3 linked regions of the Saccharomyces cerevisiae S288C genome follow. The main gene of each other region encodes a partner of the protein of the gene in region 2 in a complex. Each region holds a gene or a part of one and is shown on either strand. Other genes may lie near its edges. A codon is read from its position in the direction of its gene.

Region 1 (7,851 bases), on a different chromosome or scaffold from region 2:
GTGTTTGTTATTTTTCTTTTTACCAACAACTGCTGCTGCCTTTTTGTTGCTGTCCACATCAGGAAAAGTTTTAGGAACTACGGCACTCGGTACACTCATTCCACCAAAAATGGATGACTTTTTCTTTGTACCAGATGAGGTGCTGGGCGATTCTGCCTTCTTGTTATTCTTTTTCTTATCATCTGCCTTGGACTTTTTCTTTTCCTTCTTCTTCTCTTTCTTCTTTTTCTTTACAGCTTTATCTGCCTCTTCACCTTCATCGACAACTCTTCTCTTCTTTGTGTCCTTATTGGATTTTACCTCATCGGGGCCTTGCGTAATATATTCCATGGGTAGCTTATAATCATCTTCTTGCTCTGATGGTACGGGTACATTGAACTTTCTTAAAATACTTTGAGCTCTATTATTTCTGGGATCCAGGAAACCCGAGCAAGCATATGCAAGACAACTTCTATCTTTTGCATCTTCAATCAAATCTCTCCATAACTTGCTTTTAGCCAGAGACCTTTGATGTCCCAAAACCCAAATACTTGTCTTGGCTCTAGTCAGAGCCACATTCATACGACGAAAGTCCTTTAAAAAACCGACACTAGATTTCGTATCATCGGCACGGACACACGATATCAAGATGATTTCTTTTTCTTGACCTTGGAAACCGTCGATTGTATTGAAATCGATTGATTTGTTGATCATGCCTCCAAAATAGCGGGCAAACTCTTTACGCATTTTTTGCATTTGCTCTCTATAAGGTGAAATTATACCGATTTTTCCCGTGAAATCAATTTTATTATCGAATTTTCTGAAAAGGTAGTCAACTAACTCAATGGCAACACGTATTTCCTCCATATTTGTATAAGACATAGTCTTCGCATTTTGTTCTTGCCTACCACTAATGATGTCAAAAAATTTGTAGGGAGCTAATGGCTCAAGCTGGTGCCAGGGTCTTTTGTTCAAGATATCCATACCAGGGCCGTCTTTTAGTCGTCCCTGATAAAATTCAGAAGAGGGGAATTTACTGATGGAAGGATGCATACGGTATTGAACATCCAGCAAGTATGGGGAGCTATTTTTCTCCATTCTAACGAACAGTGACTGATTGTATTTAAAATTGCTTGCTGCACCTGAAAGAACAGTTGGTGGTAGTTGGTTAGGATCACCAACCATAATACAACGCTTCCCTCCATACCTGAGAGGAATAATTGAAGAAAGTTCGGTACATTGACATGCTTCATCTATAATGACCGTATCAAATTTAATACCCATTGTTGCGAGTACATCATGGGCTGAACCAGATAAAGTCGAACATATGATGTCACTAACCGCCAAGATATGGGCCTGTGCATTCCTTCTATCCAAATCCCTATTCCTATAATTTACGGAATTCTTCTCACGCATTTCGTCCCTATCACGGCCAAGTTCATTGATTATTTTACTTAGCTCCCTAATCTTAAGTTGTAATTTACTGATATCTTCGGTTGACATTGGACTTTCTGGATTACCACTCTCAGAGTCTAATTTTCCTCTCAATTCTCTTCTTTTAGTCACAGCATTATTAAATTTACGTTCTAGTTCCGGATCTGTTCTGATTTCGTAATTCCTTTCACCTATCCTTTTATCCACAAGTTCTTCTAAAGTAAGGTCCTTAATTGCAACGTTTACAACGTCTGACCTACCTACACGGACCAATTGAGGTTTAAATTGATGCCCCTGCTTGTCATACACTCCACTCTTCAGTCTGAGGCAGATTTCGTCCACAGCGGCATTACTGGGGGCACAGATTAGAATTTTTTGCTTTTTTAACAGTTGTTCAGTATTCGATGAGTTCTTTTCTAGTGGCACTTTGATGACATTTGAAGATGAGGCATTCTTTGTAGACAAAAAGTAACCAATAATACCCAGTATAGTCTTTGTTTTACCCGTACCAGGTGGACCCTGAATTAAAGAAAAACCTTCTTTAGATACCGAATTAACGATGGCCTCAGCCTGCGACGTATTGAGCTTATAGCTTTTCTTAACTGTTTCAATTTCTGCCGCATCCACATTTACGGGAGGCGATGGTTTAGCCTGTAGAATTTGGCCAACTAAGTCATAGTATTCCAGCCCTTCCAGTGTTGAATACTCTCTTTCAATAGTCGTCATTTGCATAACCTTCACACAATATATCTCTGATCTTAGTGTCAAAAATTTACTGAAAGAATGATTTCTATGAATTCGTAATGTGACATCAACATTACCACCTTTGGTATTTTTCAATGTTCTCACCTTTGCTAAACATGTATGTTGTGCTTTCTTGAAATCATCACTGGACAACCTTTTGTCTGGTCGAAAATCGGGTAAATAAGCCATTACAATTAAGTCAGATTCAGAAATACCACAATCCTGTATGACTTGTTTAGCGACAGAGGCATACACATCATAGAAATCTGACACAGCAGTTCGATTTCCTACAATAATACTGAAAGGTTTATAGTCCTCTCTATCACGTGAAGAACATAGACCTTGCCAAGATTCTAGAAGTAGTAAAGGCTTCATGACTTTTTGGTAGTCAGCAGGAGAGTTGAAGAAATCCTTTACGTCAGAATAATTACCAATAGGCTCATCATCAGGATATTCACTATTTCTGGTGTAATCCCATTGCAATATGATTTCATATAGAGGGTTCATATCAACATTTAATCTCTTTCTCATATGTTCTAACTCCTGTTTAGCCAATTCAGCCGCAGTTTGTCTCTTGACAACCTTACCATTAATATCGACAGTTTGTATTCCTTTGCCTTTTGCCTTAGCAATAGCAAAAAGCTCCCGAGCGCTTTCTATATCGTTGTCACTCTCCTCACTACTGCTATCGTCGTTTTTGTTAGACAAACCCCTACTCTTTGTATGGAAAGCTGGCGCACTAGGTGGATGAACAACTCTGTTGTTTAATAATTGCATCCTAGCTAATTCCATTTTGGATAAAGGCTTAACAGGTTTTGTACGATGCAGTTTAGCATTAGCTGATGATTGGAACGTACCAAAAGATGTTATTTTAGGCTGAGCTACTCTTGGTCTCCCAGTTATTGAAGAAGATAAAGCTTTTCTTTGTAAATAGTCTGCCCTGGATTCAGCAGAAGAACTAGCAATGGTTGAAGACAGAGAGGGCGAGAGGGATGGTGACGCCGGCACAGAATCCGTTAAGTCGATCACCTTCCCAAGTCTTGATAATTCCTTTTCTTTTCTGTAGTTTTCAGCTTCTGTAGCGACCTCTTCCGTGAGTGCTTTATTGAATATTTTAGCCTTTTGTAGAATCTCACTCGCCTGTTGCTCCGTCAACTTATTTGAAAATCTCTTTGCCTTCGAGGCGTACTTGGCCATCATTTCTACCAAGGAATCATCCACTTTCACATGCTTTTCATGTGCTAAATCAGACGTGCTTATAATTAATCTAACACAAGATTCCAAAAGTACTTCGTCGCTCAATCTCAGCCAATACAACATATTCTTAAAGGTTTCTAAAACGTTGAGAAGTAAATTTTTCGTTTGGTCATGAAGAATATCTGAAAATTCTCTAAAGGAGTCCACCAAAGAGCGACTTAGATCTAAAGTATCTTTGGTGAAATTTTCCAGTTCAGAATAGTCATATTTAGAAGCCCATTTCAAAGTAAACTTATAAATCGTATCCAAGAATAACCAACATGATTCCCAGAATTTTAAAAATTCCTTTTCGGTATTTTGGCTCTTCAAAGTTTGGAAATTAGCAAACACACCAGAAATCGGGTCTACAAATGCACTCACTACGTCCATCAAAACACGAACAGCACGGGGGCAAGGCTCATAGAATTCACAATTGATTAATCTTTGTAGCATCACGTTTATATTCTTCAAGTTAACGGTCAAATTACTATTCAGAATCGCTAAGATACCTTCCAGTCTACCCTCAACGTCAAATGTATTGTATAAAATATTAGTAGCTGCTTGATACAAGTGTTTATCAGAGGAGAATATGCAGGACCAAAAACCCTGCGATGCATCTTCATCCGCAAGGATTTTAGACAGTTGACCGGGCAAAATATCCGCAAATTTTTCCATTAATCTCGTTGATAGCAGCAAAAACTTCTGATTCAATGCGTTGTGTGCCTCAGCTACGGCAGTATTTGACGGTACTATCAAAAGACCATTAATATTTTTTAAAGATACTAGCAGCTGTTTGGCCAGCAATGGACCGTCATGAAAAGATCTCAGGTCAATTTTATTTGTAACATTTTCCAAGACGTTGGTTGAAATTGGAATTTCGCTAATTGGTTTACCTGAATAAAGCTTAAACGTTCGATGACATAATAACAGTATATCAAAATCGATACATTCTGCCAATACCATCATCGTGGATGTGGCCACCGATGCAGAAGCAGCACCTAGCCCAGGATAAAAGTCGTTAGGATTCGAAGCTGATCTAATTATTATGTCTTGGATCAAAGGATTGTTGAGCAAAGCTCTAGAATCTGTTTTAGTCAACAGTACTGTTTCAAATTCATCATTCTTATAAAGCATTGCCCTTTCATTTTCCTTAATAGTCAACACAGCCCTCAACAAGGCAGTTGCTGAATTCATTAAACAAGCTTTGGGAATGGATTTTAGGGATGGATAATTGGCTATTATACGCAGGAACGCCATTGAGACCTTTCTAACCATTTGAATTCTTTTGGATGGTGACAGTGCATGATAAAATGGTAAGGTCCAAGAAAGTAAATCGGTTACAGAACCGGTAAGTTGAAAGTAAACTTCTGTTTGATGCTCAACAATTGGATTGTCTTGAATTTTGATTAGTTTGATTGGGAATGAATCTCTATTGAAAATTATATCCAAAATGCTATGGAATGTGAAGGGTTCAATTTTGGACCAAAACTCGGAGCCAAATTTATTCAAGAACATTGTTAATCCTCTTAACAAAAAGTCTAGTGGCTTATCATGATATGATTTGCTTAAGTGATTGTACCACATTTTAAAAATTGGCTCTAACGGAAATTTGAATGTTTTTTTTAAAGATTCCACATTTTTTGGGACCTGAAAGTACTCTATGAAGACGTCTTTATCAAATAAATTGAAAACCGGTAGTAATCTCGACCAGAATTGAGATACCACAATCTCTGTCCAGTTTGCCGGATTCTGTAAGAATAAAATATGGATATAAACTTCCTCAATAATATCCGGTGTCAGGTTAGAAAGATTTATATGGAAATTTCTTGAGTATAAATCCTTTAGAAAAGCTCGTGACCACTCATTTTCCTCTTTTGAACCTTCACACCAGCAAAATATGACACCTGATATAAAGGTTTTTATGCTTAATGGATTCGTAACGTCCAACAAACGATGCTTTGTGTCGTAGAAAAATTTGAAGATTGCTTCGAAAGTAGCCTTAAGTTGCTTGTTAAGCCTCAACATATGCGGATTACAGAGACACTCGTACATTGCAGTTTCAATTTCATTTGTAATGTTAATTCCCGTATTATCGTTAACGGAAATATTTCTAAGAATAGGAAAAACAGCCTCCACCCTCCATTGGCATACGATGTCATTAAACTTGGCTACATGTTCATGCGGCACATGTCTTTGAATGGCAAAATGTTGTAACATTTTGCACTTCCCTCTCGCAAAATTTAGAATGCATTTATCACAAACAGAGAGAATTGGATTAAAATGATTCTTCAGCCATGTGGCCGTAGCTTCTTCATTGAATGAGAAAATGGTTAGGGAAAAAATTGATATTGGTTCAAGTATGGGGTCGCAAAATAAATGCGTACCCTTGGGAACTTCTGCTAGAACTTGTAATAACTCCCCTAATAATTTTGCCTCTTGAATATTTGGATTTGTGCCTTGATAAACTTGTTCAATCTGAGGAATGTAAGACTTTGCCTTGGTATAGACGGTAGCTAGCTGAACATCGCTATTGGGGGCAATATCCTTATCCTTATTATTATTATTAATGTTGTTGCTATTATTATTATCAGGATTGTTGGAATTCATTTATAATAAACAGATGCGCTTTTTTATATATATAGAGATAGATGCCATACAGAGATGAAGTAGAAAATAAATGACAAAGTAGAGCTTTTTTGTAGGTGTAGATGATAAGATTAAAGTGCGGGAAGCCTTTAAAGTGATCGATTATTCGTTCCTATGAAGCTTCGTAAACTTTTCTAGTAGGTTAATATGCAGGAGAAATGACCTACACTAGAGAAGAATGAGAAAATGAAAGCTCTATAACTTTGAAACAAAAGGAATAAAGTTGCAAACGTGCACCTACAAAATAAACCTAACCAATGACCTTTTGTTAGAATTCCTGATCTCATCAACTTCTAACTTGTGGTTAATTTTTCAAGATCCTAAAATATGCGAAGAAAAATATAAATAAAAATTCATTCAGGGTTACCTTTACTATGTAACGCGTTTTAACTAAAAGAAAGACTTATTTATGCTTGCATAAAACTATATGATGAGGACAATTATACATTGGTCACATAACGCTTAGTGTTTTGTCAAAAACATTCTTTTTCCTGTGGGAAAGCAACATTTTGTTTCCTTTTTTGTTAGTGGACAGGTGAACATGATTCACTTTCTAAGTGCATTATTATCGCCGCCGTCTTATGTACATTACATATAATCAAAATACATCTTTCCTATAAAAAGGACTCACTTAATTTTATCATTAAAAGTACAAAAAATTTTCATTTTGACAGTTCGCCAATTTTTTGTTCCAACTTTAACAGGCGCTCATCTTTGTCAAGATTTGCTTTCGTTAATTTATCAACTACATCTTCTAATTGCAGAACCAATGTAGATAGTTTTTCGACAGACTTTTTTAAACCCAATGACTTAGGTGATGTCCTTGCCGCGGATGGCTCTTCCTTACTGCTGGCAGTAATGGCTGTCTTAGCAGCCGTAATTGAAGAAGGAGGTGTTGCGGATTTTTCCTGCTCAGGGGACTTTGTTTTCTCAGAGGACTTCTCTTCTTGAGGTAAGCTTTGCTCCTGTTTTCTATCTGTTGCGATAGACACTGGCTCTGGCTTCAATTCTTTTGAAGGTTCGACCTTAGGTGTGCGATCCTTTTTAGTTTCTGTTGGAGTGACTGGGGTTTCGATTTTGATAGGAGCTGGCTCATCATCGGCTTCTTCCCATCCGGAGGTATCCCTAGACGGATCTTCGGCGTTGTTAACTTGATCAATATCGGAGGATTTCTTCAACAACTTGTTGATCGAATTATCTTCCTTTAATACATGGTTGATTGTAGAAGATGAGGAGGCCGACTTTAGCGGTGAGGGAGATTTTGGAGCTTCTTGTTTCACCTCCTTTTCGGATTCGCTGATTGGCTTCTCCACTTTAGGCTGCTCCTTTTTCTCTTCAAGAGCTGTTTCTTGAGTTGTTGGCTGTTGAGGTCTTTTAGCCTCATGAAAGCTTGGTGCGGAACCGTCATAGATAGATCTCATACTAACGAGAATTGGACCTTCAACAGACTTGCCAGAAAACCACTCTTCAGCAGTTAAAGCTGGCTTATTGGAAGGTGCATCCGGGTAGATATCTTCTTGGAACTCCTCTGATCTCCTTGGAACAAAGAAAGATACCGGTTCGATACGCTGATCAACGACAGTCTTGAAACCTTTTAAGACTTCGTTTTCTTTGACGTTCACCATTCGCTTAGGCGCTACAGCAAAGCCTCTCTGTGCTTCTGTGGATTGGAATTCAGACAACTCAAACAGCTCGTCGTTTTGAAATTCGTAGTATCGAATATTACCATCACCTTTCCCCACCAAGTAAAGAATCTTATTCCCTTCGTCATAAAAGGGCATCAAAATACCTGATGATTGGTCGACAGTGTAG
Region 2 (4,271 bases):
GTACCGCTTTTATCCTTAACCAAAAGATATAAGGTCCTGCTCAATTGTCTTTCAAGGCTCTTCATATCATTTGACCTATCTGCTTCCGTTATCCTGTCGTTGGGAATCACGGGCCTATTAACATCGTCTTTGCTTTGCTCTTTTTGATTGTTGCTAAATGCTACTGTACTGTCATCAGAAAGTTTAACTTCTTGCTTAGTACTTCTTTCTCTGCCATGTTTAATGTCCGGTATGCCTCTAGGAAACCAAATGCCATTTTTTTTGGAGATAGGTCCTTTCTGCAGGGATAGAAATTTGTGTTCTGCTACAGTACCCTTTTTGAAATAAAAATATGCCGGAAACGTCCACATTAGTCTCTTTTCTAGTTCTGATTGGTACTCATAGTATTTTTTCTCTAGTTCATTTAATTCTGATTTAATTATAGGGATTCTTGACAGTAGTACTCCGACTTTAATCTTGGGGGGAGCGGAACTGGCAGTTGCAGTTGCAGTAGCAAGCCCTCTTTTCAACATTAAATTTACCTTCATGGTACTGGATAAGCGCTTATGATTACGTAGAATATAAAGTTTATTGATTGTTTAACTGTTTTCTTTCCTTTTTTTTTTTTCATTTTCATTTTCATCTAAACCTTGAAAAAAAACCAGGAATACGGTAAAAAAAGAGAATAAAGAATAGGATAATGCTACATTTGAAACACAGTAGTTATGTGAATACATAAGGATGTCCATTTAACAAAAAAAAAAAAGGAACATAGGAAAAAACAGAAATTATATATAGAGGTAGATTAGTTTTATGTACTATGAGCAAATAAAGGGTGGAGTAAAGATCTTAGCTTTGTTGTTGTTGCTGCTGCTGTTGGTTAAGCATATTCATCAAAGAATTCAATTGAGCAGTGGGGTCAAATTGTTGCTGAGGTACAGGGGGAGCCGCTGCGGCAGGTCCCTGAGAAGGTAATGGTTGGTTGGGGGCATAACCATACGGTTGCTGCATCATAGGTTGCACATATTGCTGTGGTGGAGGAGATGCCAATGGTGCATTGCCGTAGGGTACTGGAGATATCGACGATATGCTACCAGATTTGTTAGGTTTACCAGAACGTGGCCCATTTCTGCCAGAATCAGTAGGCATCTTTTGAGATATTGCCTTGGAAGAAACACCTTCACCAACGATAATATCCGGTTCTTCGAAAACAATACCGGTAACGAGAGGTTGACCAGAAGTGCCACCCCATTGCGCACTTACTGACCATTTTTTATCAGCGTCCGTGAGCCTGTGCATAGGAATAATACTGTAACCGTGTTGATAGTCACAACAATCTCTTGGACCAAAACCAACTCCCCACCTAGTTCTCAATGGCAGGGCTCCATCTTTATTGAAGTTTTGCAAAACATTTTCGGCCTCATGTCTTGAATAAACTTTCACAAAAGCGTGTTTTCTGGAGTTATTCAGAATGACGCTTTGTACTTCAGCAAAAGGTTTTAAAACGTTAGCAAGGTCCCATTCCTTCATGTTTAGTGGTACCCCACCGATGAAAAGAGTACGGCTGTAGACTTTAATATGATCTGGTGGCAATGTAGAGTCGTAACTTACTGGTTTTGGTCTATAATGAGGATTATTGGAAACATTAAGCTCATCGGGGTATAAGTGGTGATTGTTTGTGCCAAATGTCGTATTGGGGGCGCCTATGCTGTATTGGTCCTGGGCCACAGATGGATAGCGGTCCTTCCTGCCTGTCGATGGCTGAGAAAATGGTGCCGGAGGAGATCTTGATCTATTCCTTCTTGAGTTATATCTTTCTCTTTCACGTTCACGTTCACGTCTGCTACCATATTCGGTAATTGTATGGGCTTGGGGAGGTGCGACTGTACCCACGGATGTATGTGAAGGCAAAGTTTTAAAATGTTTCTGCAGAGCCGCTATTACTTGGAAAAGAGCTGCTTGCTGTTTGGCTGGATCTGTGGAAGTCAAATCAGTTGGAAGACTTATGTTCAAGTTTAAAGGAGGACTTTTCTTTAGATTTGACAAGATTTGTTTCGACCTCTGCTTGGGATCCAGTGATAGTTGTTGTGAAGCGGTGTTCGCGGTGTTATTCGATATGTCCATAGCAAAGCATTTTGACCTGATGGCGTTCAAGTAACTCTTTTGAAACAAGCCGGACCTGTCCCAAATGTCTAAAAGCATACGAATTTTTTCCTTGTGGTCTTGATTACTTTTTGCAATAGCATCGGATAGCAGTTCTTGAATTACTTCGCCCAACGTGTTTATGGCATGGGCACAAGTACCGGGTTTGTTGCTGCTGCTGTTTGAATTTGATCTTGTTTCATCCAAGTAAGCTCTACCTATTGAATCGATGATATATAAAGAACCTAATTTATGAGAATCGGGACAAAGTCTTGAGTAGTCTATTATCAAAGATATGATTTTCGATTCAATATCAATGTGATCAAGTGCGTAAGTGGTTAGTTTCTTAATACGAGAACCTGAAATACCAGATTTCAAATCTTTGAATGATTCCAAGGTAGCTACAAAATTTTGAAAATCGTCGTCCTGCTGCATTATGGGATGTTTAGTATGTTTGTTGCTTTCCGGTTCCTTTCCTGTAACTCGTGCTTGGAGAAAAGTACTAGAAAAAATGTGTAATCAGAGAAAACTACAATACAAAAAAATAGACAATAGTATATTTTTCTTTTGCTTGAAATTATAGGTTGTAGCAATGGATACGGTAACGTAACTAATTGTAAGAAGAGCCTTGATTGGTGAGTTAGTTGTGTACAATACGATAATACGATGCGATACGATACGAAAACGATACAATAAGGTTGCCGAGTACTGACTTTTGATATGTTAAAAGCATGAAACTCGTAAAGGGAAGGAGCGGGGAGTCATGCTAACGAGGAATGGAACATGGAGGAAGGACGAAACACTTGCCCTTTTATACTTTTTCTTTTTCACCTCCTCCGCTCCGACCGGTGGCAAAAAAAAAAATCAAAAATGTACCGTATGTAATGACCAATAAATCACCAAAGACGAAACATTTATTTTTGCCGCCGACTTTCCAATGAATTTGCTCAATTTCAGGTTAGTGGTCATAAGGATATCTAACAAGCCATCAAAAGCATAATGTTTTTGAGTACTCGATAGAATTATGTATTGCGGACTTTAGTAGAATAGGAAACAATGCGCTATACGTGCGCAGTAGCTCATTTCGACCATAAACTAATTGTAGATTTTTTGCGTTTCTGGTGCTATTCATTGAAACAAGAAACCGATAGTACTTCCACTTACAATACTAATACTTGCGGTAATGTTACAATCCTTCACTTATTATTTTCGGAGAATAATAACCATGCATCTTGCAATACTTTCACGGCTTTGCCTTGTCTCGTGCGCTAGTAACTGCAGTAGAACCCACCCATATGACAATGCAAATATTAATCTAACTTAGTCAAAAAAAAAAAATGCCTTCACCTCGTTTGTCTTCATCTGAGATAAGGTTCCGGTTTTCATCTTGTCCCTGTTTGTTGCCTTTGTTCTTGCCTCATCGCTTCTAAAGCGGCTTTCAAGCTTTGATCTTTAAATGGAAATCTTTAATTCTAAGAAGTGGTAGCAACCATTGAGAGGCAAAAACAAGGGAACGACGGAAAGCAGGCATGAGCGCTATCTATAAATTATCTATTCAGGGCATACGGTCTTTTGACTCCAATGATAGGGAAACTATTGAATTTGGCAAGCCTCTGACTTTAATAGTCGGCATGAATGGTTCAGGTAAAACGACTATCATCGAATGTTTAAAGTACGCTACCACAGGTGATCTACCGCCCAACAGCAAGGGAGGAGTATTCATTCATGACCCGAAGATAACTGGTGAAAAGGACATTAGAGCTCAGGTCAAACTGGCGTTTACGAGTGCCAATGGACTCAATATGATTGTCACCAGAAATATTCAGTTGCTAATGAAAAAGACTACTACTACATTTAAGACTTTAGAAGGCCAGTTGGTCGCTATAAATAATAGTGGTGACCGCAGTACTTTGTCCACCCGGTCTCTGGAATTAGACGCACAAGTACCCCTGTATCTGGGAGTTCCAAAAGCGATCTTGGAATACGTGATATTCTGTCACCAAGAAGACAGCCTGTGGCCACTGAGTGAACCATCCAATCTTAAAAAGAAGTTTGATGAAATTTTCCAAGCGATGAAATTTACAAAGGCTCTAGACAATTTAAAATCCATAAAGAAAGACATGTCCGTGGATATCAAGTTATTAAAGCAA
Region 3 (3,906 bases), on a different chromosome or scaffold from region 2:
TAAATCAATTTATTTTACGTTACGATAGAGCCAGCGGGCCAGGAGGCCAAAACGTTAATAAGGTAAATAGTAAATGTACTTTGACACTTTCTGGTTTATCAAACTGTGCTTGGATTCCTCAGGAAGTGAGAAACATCTTAAGTAGCGGCAGGTTTCGATACTACGCTAAGGGCAGCGATTCTATAGTAATTCAATCTGATGAAACTAGGTCAAGGGAAACCAACAAATTAAAATGCTTCGAGAAGTTGGTTCAAGAAATTCGGCAAACGTGCCAATTTCCTAATGATACCACTGCTGAGACCTCAAAGAAATGGAATAAAATAAAAGAGAAAGCCAACAAAGAGCGACTTCTTGACAAAAAAGTTCACAGCGATAAAAAGAAAAACAGAAGTAAAATTAAATTCAATTATTAATACATAATACGCATATTTAAACACACATTCTATCCAGGTACACAGTGATGTACAGTTCAGTGCATCATTTAAACAAAAAGGCACATATTAAAGGGTATAAGGATTATATCCATCTTCATCATCATCTTCGCTAGAGACAGTGATATATGTCTCTCCACTATTTCTCTTGGCCGGTTCACTTTCAGGTTTTTCTTCTATTTTAGCCTTCTTAGCAGGTGGGTTCGTTATTTCATAATCATCATCTGTTGTGGTAGCGGTGGCTGTGGAGGTAACTGTATCTTCGGCAAAATCTTCATCATGAATTATTCTGCTACGTTTCTTGTGATAGTTTTCATTTTCAATAATAGCCTTATTCAGTACTAGACCTCTTTCATCCTTGAAATCTCTTGCCTTTCCACGATATTTGATCACGTTTCCCAATATACTTTTCCCCAATCGATCCTTAAAAGTTGCTGAATGTAATTCAAAACATCTATTCGTCAACAGATCAAAAGCACCAGCAAATGCCTTTTTAATATCTCGAATGTTAAAGGACCCTCGACTGATGTTATTTGATTCATCACCTGGATCTTGAATGGCCAATGAAAATGGATTTTTAATAGGCTGAATAGCACTCCATGTCGATTTTGGAAAGTATACTGGATATCCATCCGATGATCCCAGTGCAACATCATCATAACCAAAATTTTTCCCATAAAGTTCAAAAAACTCTATCAGGAGCACACCCAAGTTGTCCTTTGGATCTATTTCGTTAGTTATTATACGTGGGTGCATATGCAAAAAGGAAAAGACAAGACATATAATACTAAACCCACCAAGACCACCGGTATGCACATTATTTAGTCTTCTTGCGTGTAGGAATTGTTTTACGATAAGGACTAATTCTCTCAGGCCGGGGGTATCGTCCAACCACTCTCTAATAAGCTTTGCTGCTTCAATACCATTTGTTCTCTCAAATGAAACATCTATGTGGATCCCTGAATGTGGCTCAACAAACTTGATGATTGGAACGCGAGCTTTGGCGACAACTTCAACCTCTGTTGCCAAATTTTTTTTTTTTAAATGGCTTGCTAACGAATACAAGTTATTCCTACTTTCCTTACCACCAAGTTCGCTCGTTACCACGCAATCAATATCGGAACCAGGCAAATACAAATCGGTAGAATATGATCCAAACACGTGCAAATCAGCATCTGGCCATAACTGTTTGACAGCCTCTCTTATTGTACTTATGGTTTGATTACGAATTTCAATTTCTTCACGACTTGGTGAGATATAGGCAACAAAATCCTTGATTTCAAAGGTTAGCCAGTCCGAGATTTCTTTCTGTTTGGAGTGATCATGATTTAAAATCCATGGATAATCAGTATTAAGGATTTCCTTTTGCTTTTCTTTTTTAATTTCTAATTCTTGTTTCTCCCTCTCCTCTTCCTGTTCGGCTTGCTCATCCTCAGAACTAGCAGAAAGAGAGATAAAATCATCATTGTTAGCAAGATCCTTCTCATCCCCGTGCACTGCTAATGAAGGCGTTTTACTTTCTTCAGTAGTCGAGGGAATATCAGTAGGGTTATCGAAATGTCCATCGTAGACATCGAATCCTTCATCATCATCAGATTTATGTTCTAATACAAGAATTCCATCCGCCGTGACGTGATCTTTAGGTAATTTATTTGTCTCTTGCTCATTACGACTAGGTAAAATCTCTACTTCGTTTTCGTCGTTCAAGGATATAGACTTCTGTGGTTTCCGTACTTTCTTGATTTTCTTGCTCTTTTTCACTTTCCCATTATGCCGGTTTTTAATCTTCTTTGAAGAAGAGGCTGTTACACTCTTTGCCCCCATATTTCAAGTATAGTTCCCTTGCTTATTCACACTTTATGAAAGCGTAACGTTTTTGGTCGTATATTCAAATGGTTTTTTTTTAATGAAACTTAATAGTTATTCTATATTATTTTCCTCTTTTTTTTATTTTATTTTTTTTTTCACACATTATTTTAGAATCATATACAAGAAGCCGAGGATGAATACAGGTTTCTTCGACACTCAACGTGATAATCAAAAGGCAAGATAAGAAAACTGAGTAAACCTAAATATCTCACGCTTGGGATCCTTTACTTAAATTCAGTTAGGTGTTCAGCTATTCTAAATTCAAGAGCGTAAAGTACAAGGCATATTATATAGATATGTATACGTATACAATTGTTGTTGGCTGACTTCTGAGTTTTATAGGATATTATTAGAGATTATTGTTACAGATACAACCCACTTTAAAGGAAAGTCCAATTATTAATTTATTAAGAAAAGCATAAGTGTTACAAGGGCTAATTTGGGATAAAGGTGAATACACAAGAAGCAAATGTCACTTCAAAGTCTCTGGAATATGAGAACTGTGGCATAACCAACCAATAGGTTGTTTAACCTTCTGTTTATCATTAACATATCTTGAGTTTTCTAATATTTCAACAACATAGTTTAATGAATACCCACGATTAAGGCCAGTTTGAATGGCTTTCCAAAGAACCTTTCTTCTCGAATATCTTTTATTTACTGCTGGATCTCGCCTCCATGCCGTTTGATAAAGAGCTTCCATTTTCCTTATAGAAGGCTGCCCGTTAACACCTTCTGTATACTCCTTCCAAACCTCCATCACAGAGTGTGGTGACTTGATAAATTCGAAGGGTCTTGTGCAGACTATTCGTTTCCGTTTCAATCCTGTTTTAGTCTCATACTGTTCCTCCTCAAATGTCGGCACGCTCTCTTGTGCATTTGATTCAACCGCATTTTCATGGTTAGGAGAAACTTTCTGGAGATTAGGAGACTGCCGTGATTGAGAAGAGTTGCTGCTTATGTACAGTCCTTGACTTTGGCCACCATCATTGTTAGGTGGATTTGCTGAATACTCTTCCAAGGATGGGACTAAATTGGAATTATAATTTTGCGGCTTGTTGAACCGAGTGTCCACTGAAGGGTTGGTGCTATTATTTTCTTGGCTTATAGAATTTGAGCTGTTAGTTTGTTGTTGACTCTTATCATTTTCTTGTGAATTTCCATTCAAAATGTCCTCAAAAAGTGTTTCATTACTAACAGCTCCTTCATTTTGCGGATGAGCAGTTTGATCATTATTCATAGGCACTGAAGTATAATTCCTAGGAGCTCCTGGTGCCGTAGTTCCATCAGTGAAGCCTTGTGGGTCAAGAGTTTGGCTTAAGGATATTGACGTAGCTGACACCCCATGCAACGTTCCGCTTAATTTTTCACTGAGAATTTCAGCGTGGCGTTGTTGGTCATTCAGCAATGTTGATAAAAACGCGGTCAGTTCGTTGATTTGTTGCTGTTGGGAGTTTACCACTACATCATATTTTTTAAAGTGAAGATCGAGACGGTTACTTAACGCGTGAAATATACCCTCAAACATCGACATACGCCTTTCCAGCTCAGCAACGCGGTTGGTTAATATAGCCTCATTCTCATTTAGGTTTGAAGCTCCTATGTG

Evidence for each region. Proteins that work in one complex are often made in the same cells at the same time.
Region 1: the proteins of NRD1 (region 2) and SEN1 are in contact, whole or in part, in an NMR structure (PDB 6GC3), measured with the Saccharomyces cerevisiae proteins. Residues at the interface, in NP_014148.1 of Saccharomyces cerevisiae: Asp19 (codon at 2,502), Leu20 (codon at 2,499), Lys21 (codon at 2,496), Ser22 (codon at 2,493), Ile24 (codon at 2,487), Ser25 (codon at 2,484), Gly26 (codon at 2,481), Ser27 (codon at 2,478), Arg28 (codon at 2,475), Lys30 (codon at 2,469), Tyr67 (codon at 2,358), Asp70 (codon at 2,349), Ser71 (codon at 2,346), Arg74 (codon at 2,337), Lys123 (codon at 2,190), Met126 (codon at 2,181), Leu127 (codon at 2,178), Ile130 (codon at 2,169), Arg133 (codon at 2,160); in NP_013534.3 of Saccharomyces cerevisiae: Asp2052, Asp2053, Asp2054, Glu2055, Asp2056, Asp2057, Tyr2058, Pro2060, Ser2061, Ile2062, Ser2063.
Region 3: the proteins of NRD1 (region 2) and PAP2 are in contact, whole or in part, in an NMR structure (PDB 2MOW), measured with the Saccharomyces cerevisiae proteins. Residues at the interface, in NP_014148.1 of Saccharomyces cerevisiae: Lys21 (codon at 2,496), Gly23 (codon at 2,490), Ile24 (codon at 2,487), Ser25 (codon at 2,484), Gly26 (codon at 2,481), Arg28 (codon at 2,475), Ile29 (codon at 2,472), Lys30 (codon at 2,469), Tyr67 (codon at 2,358), Asp70 (codon at 2,349), Ser71 (codon at 2,346), Arg74 (codon at 2,337), Met126 (codon at 2,181), Leu127 (codon at 2,178), Ile130 (codon at 2,169), Arg133 (codon at 2,160); in NP_014526.1 of Saccharomyces cerevisiae: Asp573 (codon at 539), Asp575 (codon at 533), Glu576 (codon at 530), Asp577 (codon at 527), Gly578 (codon at 524), Tyr579 (codon at 521), Asn580 (codon at 518), Pro581 (codon at 515), Tyr582 (codon at 512), Thr583 (codon at 509), Leu584 (codon at 506).

Annotation. Positions count from the first base shown.
Region 1 is NC_001144.5:991,583-999,433, reverse strand, and holds the start of SEN1 (DNA/RNA helicase SEN1), read right to left. Parts: upstream 6,001-7,851; coding exon 1-6,000. Other genes in the region: CRN1 (coronin), read right to left, coding at 6,702-7,851. UniProt on the Saccharomyces cerevisiae protein: ATP-dependent 5'->3' DNA/RNA helicase required for the expression and maturation of diverse classes of non-protein-coding RNAs like precursor tRNAs, rRNAs and small nuclear (snRNA) and nucleolar (snoRNA) RNAs.
Region 2 is NC_001146.8:171,760-176,030, forward strand, and holds NRD1 (Nrd1 complex RNA-binding subunit), read right to left. Parts: upstream 2,557-4,271; coding exon 829-2,556; downstream 1-828. Other genes in the region: mitochondrial 54S ribosomal protein mL46 MRPL17, read right to left, coding at 1-527; RAD50 (MRX complex DNA-binding subunit), read left to right, coding at 3,651-4,271. UniProt on the Saccharomyces cerevisiae protein: Plays a role in sequence-specific regulation of nuclear pre-mRNA abundance.
Region 3 is NC_001147.6:99,824-103,729, reverse strand, and holds PAP2 (non-canonical poly(A) polymerase PAP2), read right to left. Parts: upstream 2,256-3,906; coding exon 501-2,255; downstream 1-500. Other genes in the region: PTH4 (Pth4p), read left to right, coding at 1-413; MSN1 (Msn1p), read right to left, coding at 2,773-3,906. UniProt on the Saccharomyces cerevisiae protein: Catalytic subunit of the TRAMP complex which has a poly(A) RNA polymerase activity and is involved in a post-transcriptional quality control mechanism limiting inappropriate expression of genetic information.